2 linked regions of the Neurospora crassa OR74A genome follow. The protein of the gene in region 1 purifies or fractionates together with the protein of each later gene. This does not show direct contact. Links are inferred from orthologs where the notes say so. Each region holds a gene or a part of one and is shown in the gene's direction. Other genes may lie near its edges.

Region 1 (3,429 bases):
TGCCCACCCGATCAGCTCCCTTGACGATTCGCTCGATCCAGATCAAAGCTTCGGGGGGTTGATTCGAGCAACGTCAGCAACACGCTCATGTCGTTTCCGTTTCGATTCTGCGGGACTTTAATGGCCATCACTCTGGAACAACTTCCGAAGGATCTGATACCCTTTCATTGGGAGTGACTGACCTGGAGTTGAATGGGGCTTCTGCTTCCCATCGGAAGTGACTGTCCAGCTTTGTATAGCTCAGGGTTGCTATGTGGACTTAAGAGACTCCCTGCAAAGTAATATGTCCAACCGTCTTTCAAGAACCCAACAAGTACTCTGCTCAATATAGATGAGTTTGGCAGACGTGTCTACTACAGGTACTCTACACCGTGAGCTATTATTCATGGCAAGGGACATCCTGGCATTGATCAAGTGGAAGAGGGGCCAAGTCAGCATATTGGCATCATCGACTTGTGCTCGTGGCTACATTTGGCCCATTGCGTGGTGCTGTGGGCTGTCATTGTCGGGGAAATATTCCATCCATTTGTGACCAATGTACAAAAGTACGTGTACTGTACCATACTCCAGTTGATGAGTACCGAAATTCTGCACGCTGGTCTCGTACCTACCTTGCCGACCCAAGTACGGCTGCACTTCAAGACCTGTCATCGGAGCAAGACACGTTTGACACTATAAGATAGGGCCCATAGACATCGCATTAAAAAGGGGGCAATCATGCAAAGGGCAAGTCCCATCATGAAATGACGGCGGGAGATCTGAAAAGATGGCGGCTCTTTGCAAATTTGGCACGAGATTCAGAGGGGTATGAGTGGAGAACCCGAAAGTGGAGGTTGAAAGGTAGGTCCCGCCCGCTCCCCCGCATTTTGCGCGATGGAGACCCGACCAAGCCAAGCTCCGGACCCGCAACTGGAGCGAGGAACAGTGACCCCTTCCTTATCGCTTCGCTTATCGCAAAGTAAATTTTCCAAAATCTTGTGCTGCCAGCAATTGGGGAATCTCAGCGTCCATGCGCGGCTGTCCTCCTTCTGTAGACATTGCAAATTCGAGGAATCAACACCCTTGATTTTATTGCTATTTCCAACACTTTTCTTCCCTTGCCTATTGACACCATCTCGATCGATACGCTAAAGCCAGCCAGAATGGCAGCAACAAAAGACCTCGAAACCGCCTCCGCGCAGGACTCCGCTCCCGTCGACGCCATGGACACCACCGCCGATTTCGTTTCCGAGAAGAAGTCTAAGAAAGAAAAGAAGGAGAAGAAGGATAAATCCTCCAAGAAGCGCAAGGCCACAGAGGAGCCTGCCGAGTCCGCCGAGACTGTCGACACCATGGACACCACCGCCGATGCCGATGCCGCCGCCGCCTCCTCCGATGAGAAACCCAAGAAATCTTCCAAGAAGCGCAAGGCCGAGCTCACCGAAATCGAAATCGACGTCACCGCCCCCGAGCCTCCCTCCAAGAAAGCCAAGCGTCTGCTCAAGAAGGGCAAGACCCTCCCTACCAAGCCCTCCTCCGACAAGGGTGATGACTCCGACGACAACTCGGATAACGAAACCGCCACCGGAAAGGACGGCGACAAGGACAAGAAAAAGAAGAAGGAAAAGAAGGAACGGTCCCCCCACGGCGTCTGGATCGGCAACCTGCGCTTCACCGTCACCAAGAGCGAACTGAAGCAATGGCTCGTCGACAACAGCGGCGGCTCCATCACGCCCGAGTCCATCACGCGCGTGCACATGCCCACGGCCAAGGCGCAGCCCGGCCAGCCCAAGAAGGAGAAGCCCGAGAACCGCGGTTTCGCCTACGTCGACTTTGATTCGCTGGCCACCAAGGTCGCCGCCATTGCTCTCAGCGAGACCGAGTGGTACAAGCGCAAGCTGTTGATCAAGGACGCGACGTCGTTCGAGGGACGGCCGGAGAAGAAGAAGGAAGACGATGAGGATGCCAAGGGCGCTGCTGGTGGAAAGAAGGACGAGGCGCTAGTAGGCGGCAAGTTCGCCGGCTCAACCAAGATCTTTGTCGGCAACCTCTCGTTCGACACCACCGAGGACGACTTGCGCAACCACTTTGACAAGTGCGGCGCCATCCGGTGGGTCAAGGTGGCCACGTTCGAGGACAGCGGCAAGTGCAAGGGGTACGGGTGGGTGAACTTTGAGGAGGGCGAAGCCGCGCAGTGGGCGGTCAAGGGGTTCGTCAAGATCCGCGAGGAGATTCCCGAGTTGGAGGACTTTATGGATGAAGACCAAAAAGCCGAAGCCGAAGCCGCAGCCGACGGTGACAACGCCGACGCGGAAAAGACAAAGGAAAAGAAGGAAACGGAAAAGAGGATAAAGACCCGCAAGTGGTGGGTCAACCAGCTACATGGCCGCACCCTCAAGATCGAGTTGGCCGAGGACGACAAGACGAGATACGACAAGCGGTTCCGAGGCAAGGGCGCTGCGGGCGGCAAGAAGCAAGGACAAGACGGTGGTGAGAGGCCACAGAGGGTTCCTTACAAGAAGAGGGAAGAAGGCGGTAATGGTCAAATCAAGATGGCTCAGGATATCAGTGTTGCCAGACTTACTGGTGCGCCTGTTGCTCACCAGGGCAAGAAGACTACCTTTGAGTAAAATAGGACGAGTGTCCTGTCTATCTGGTCCGGGCTTTTTTTTTTCTTGGGTTCGGCGGAAGAGAGAGAAAAAATATGGGTTCAAAATCATGTCGCCACGGTTCAGTGTGTCCGGTGGTAACTTAATGTTGTCTTGTTTTAAGGTTGTGTCTTATATACCTATCTTGTTTCCATGTTGTGTGGGCTTAGACGGCTAGAGGAATCGAATTTGCGCTTCACCTCATACCTATATGCACATCGTGACGATCGCAAGTGTGTTCTACGTTCTGTCTTGCTGGTTTGCTAACACAGTCTTTCATCTCTCTGCAAAACATGACGCTCCAAGGAGATTACTCAAAATACATCCATGCCTCCATATGTATGCACGGTCGTGTTGTTTACGGCCGGCGATCGAAAAGGACCAAGAATTTCATGACGGAACATCTGTTTTAACACAATCTAGCTATTGAGCACAATCTGAGTGGCCGTAACGAGTTACAAGAGAAGTGAGGTCTACTCTAGATTATAAAGTGGTGAATTGCCAGTTTCATCCGAAGAAGAGATCAATGCGCAGCAGTGTAGTGTAAAGCAACGACACCGAGTACACTTCACGCCAGAGCCGTCGACTATGGTAATCCCTTGATTTCTCTCTAGACACTTGTTCTTTGGGACTTATCACATGAAGCACAGACTAAACAGAAGACAGTAGTAGGAGAGGGGAAATTTCCATAACAACGAGCTTACGTTGACAAAAGCAAAAAAAAAACTAGCAATTTAAAGCACCCATCAATTGACCCGAGCAACCCAACAAAACATTCCGTCCAAGCACTCCGTTATCCATG
Region 2 (3,564 bases), on another chromosome or scaffold:
TCGGTCCCCATTGCTGGCCGATGCCTTTTCCATGCCCAGCAAACAATCGGCCAAACGGTCCAGGCCACCGGCATGGGGACCTTGTTGTTGACATGGTTCTGCGCCTCCAATCTCTGTTCAACTTCAACTTTAATCTGAACCCCACCCCGCCGGTTCTGTAGTGTATGTACACTACCAGTATACCTTTAGACTATGTAAAAGCTTTTCGTTTTCGCGGCGAATGACTCACGCAACACAAGTGAGGATCCGGCAGTCGAATTGGGGCGGCTTATGGTAAAAAGGGATAGGCAAAATTGCGGTTGCCGCGTGGCTGGGCTCACACGGCGTGCAACCCACCGACCGATCAAAAAGACCTCTCGCCGTCAAGATTGGGGGGACTTTAGTTCTCTGGCAGCTTCCAAACTCTTCTCAGTCTTAAATCCGAGAGGAAACGACCGATTGGCGCACCAAGTGCGAGCTTGTTTATCTATTGTCTTACCTTATCGGCCAAACCAAGACACTTTTCATTAGCTGCGTGCCGTTCAAGTCGGTACGTACCTATGTTGTTTTAACCCGTTCCCCGGATTTGCACTAAGCCCTACACTTGGCTTGACATCACACTGCGACAAATCATCATGTCCATCGGTGGCCGGTTGCGTTCCCGACAGCATCTCATCTTCTCACGCAATGAATTCAGGTGCCCTTGGCAGCATCACTTGACATCAAAGGAGGGGCTCGTCTTCTTTTCGTCTTGACATTCGTGTACTGTCCAAGGGCGTGTCGTTTGATGGCAACCACCGGGTGTCTTGTCTTCAACGGCCTGACCGTCGTTGTGAAGCCGCGGGACGAAACGCCAATACCGGTTGCTCCAGATTAGCTCACACATTCTCCCGTATATCCGTCAGACAAACGGGAGGGAGTCATCATTCGTGAAACCTGAGGAAGTGAGCCCATGGCGAAGGTTAACCGAACACGCGCTGTTTTCACACTGTCCAATTTGCCGGGATAAGTGAGCTGAATCCACGGAACTTGTTTGAATGCTTTCGATATGGTAATTCCCAGGTCAACCTCTTCAGGAAGGGCTTTGGTGTCCAAGCAACAGGCGCAAATGACTGCAGGCGAGCTACATAGGCCCGAGGACAACAGAGGATGAGTCTTGTGAGTTGTCGACTATCGAGGTGCGCGTTTCCATTAGACCTATGATTGTTTGTTGGAGACATGGAAAAGGAAAGCAACATAAGTGCAATTCATGTCTATCGTGATTATCGATAGAAGAAGTCAAGCAAATGTCAAAAGTTGGGAGGGAAACGATCAAAAACGAATCTCCAAACAACGTCGATACACCAGGGGAAACACAACAACAGGGATGCTGGCTGCACAGTTCAAGGTGGGGTAGGCTGGCCGCAGTCCATTTGGGTGGGGCCTGCCAAAATCAATTGTGGGGGAAAGCCTATCAATGGCTCACCGCCCAAAAGTTTCGCGCGGCAGAAAAAAAACAAAAGTCAGCGATAGGCGACTGCACCACAGCACCGCCGGCACGGCAGAGGCTCCCGTCCCGTCTGTCTGCGTATCAATTGGTGATTCTGATCCTTCCATTCCACTTCCACTCTTGATTCATTTGGGTAGTTGTCATAACCAAAACCAATCTACACCACCAACAACCATCTTTTCTTTGCCACCATAGTTCTGTCTCTGTATCGGCATTGTTATTGTGCGCTTCATCTCTTGTAATCTTTACATCCATAACCACCCACACATACCGTCAAGATGCCCAAGTCCAAGAGAGCGAAGGTGTACAACCTCACCCAGGTCACCAAGAAGAACCGCGAACAAAAGGAGAAGCTCTTTGAGAACATCCGAGAATGCATCCCCAACTACCAGCACTGCTTCGTCTTCAGCATCGATAACATGCGCAACAACTACCTGAAGGATGTCAGAAAGGAGCTGAACGACTGCCGGTATGTTTGTTATTGTCCACCTTCTTCCTACTCAGTAGCCGAATCCAATCGCAATCGCAATCATTGACTAACACTTCTTCTTCCCGTGCTACAGCATCTTCTTCGGCAAGACCAAGCTCACCGCCCGCGCTCTCGGCACCACCCCCGAGGACGCCCAAGCCGACGGGCTCGACAAGCTCTCCAAGTACCTGTCCGGCTCCGTCGGCCTCATCTTCACCAACCGCGACCCCTCGGAAATCAAGGACTACTTCGTCAACCTGACACAAGTCGACTTTGCGCGCGCCGGCTCCGTCGCCACGCGAACCATCACCATCCCCTCCGGTCCCTTGTACTCCACCGGTGGCGAGGTCCCCGCCGAGCACGACGTGCCCGTCTCCCACACGCTCGAGCCCGAGCTCCGCCGCCTGGGCATGCCCACCCGCATGGTCAAGGGCAAGGTCTGCCTGGGTGACGAGGCCGGCGAGGGTGACGATTACGTTATCTGCAAGGAGGGCGAGACGCTGGATTCCAGGCAGACGAGGCTGCTGAAGCTGTTCAGCATCTGCTTGAGTGAGTTCCGTGTCAAGCTGCTGGCCTACTGGAGCGCGGCGAGCGGGGAGGTTACCGAGTTGGAGAAGCCTGGTGAGGCTGGTGCTGAGGAGATGGAGGAGGATGACGAGTAAGGGATGTGTTCATGAATGATACCCTGAAAAGAGGGACGGTGTGTATGTGGTTGCACTTGACGAAGCGGTTGGAAAGGTTCATGATATCAAGAAATCTGCCGTACGAGAAGGGGAACTCCCTTCAACTTACAATAACGCAACATCGAGGGACCCAACAAGAGGGTGTGGGGAGGGGACCGGTCAAAATTTTTGCAAACGTCATTATTTCTCGTTTTTTTACTACTTGGCTTGTTTCCGTGTTTTTACATAGGGAAAGGTTTACGATGATACCATCTTTGTATGGAACTTCTTCTTTTGGGGAACATAAAACAACCGGTCATCTTAGTTTATGTATTACCAGGCGTCTTAAGAGATAGGAGGGGGCAAAGGCTCACGAATAGAAAAAGGCTTCAAAGACAATGTCCTGTATGTGATGCTGACTTCTTGTGATGTTCATCGTTGTGGCACGGCTGGTATAACGAATGATCAAGTCCGCCAAACCATTACCAAAGAGAAGGACAAAGTTGTGTCTATACAACAAAACTCGAATGTGCGCAGTATTTACTTGCAATATCACGGAACCACCAAGCCCTATGACAATTTTCCTCAAACGTCAAAAATAAGAATTGAAAGAGTAGAATAACCCAACCACAGAGTGCTCGAAGAGCTAGCAGAGATGTAAGAAGGCAATACAATTTTCGAACCTGACATGCATCATCATCATCATCTCCGCATTCCACTACACAAACTTACCAATTCTAGAATAGTTTTTCAAGGCCCTTTCCATGTTGACATCGGACACCAAGTTTCTTCCTCTTCTTCTTCTTCTTCTCGCTCAAAAGCGAAATGAAACCAGGTCAAATTCATTCAGTCTTTAGGATATGCAAAAGGCTGATGTATAACCCCCCATCTCCCACCCGCCCTCCTCCAACAAGCAAACAAGCAAGGAAGTCTGGAACCCGTTCCCTTCCCCTTTCTCCAAAATC

What was found.
Region 2: the proteins of NCU04273 (region 1) and NCU07547 purify together in Saccharomyces cerevisiae (affinity purification with mass spectrometry; 3 studies listed by BioGRID, with this or other methods). This does not show direct contact. The link is inferred for Neurospora crassa OR74A from reciprocal best matches to the Saccharomyces cerevisiae genes NOP13 and MRT4.

Annotation. Positions count from the first base shown.
Region 1 is NC_026505.1:5,457,020-5,460,448, reverse strand, and holds NCU04273 (RNA-binding protein), read left to right. Parts: upstream 1-958; 5' UTR 959-1,142; coding exon 1,143-2,609; 3' UTR 2,610-2,827; downstream 2,828-3,429.
Region 2 is NC_026503.1:4,411,975-4,415,538, reverse strand, and holds NCU07547 (mRNA turnover protein MRT4), read left to right. Parts: upstream 1-1,511; 5' UTR 1,512-1,746; coding exon 1,747-1,937; intron 1,938-2,031; coding exon 2,032-2,599; 3' UTR 2,600-2,994; downstream 2,995-3,564. UniProt on the Saccharomyces cerevisiae protein: Component of the ribosome assembly machinery. Nuclear paralog of the ribosomal protein P0, it binds pre-60S subunits at an early stage of assembly in the nucleolus, and is replaced by P0 in cytoplasmic pre-60S subunits and mature 80S ribosomes.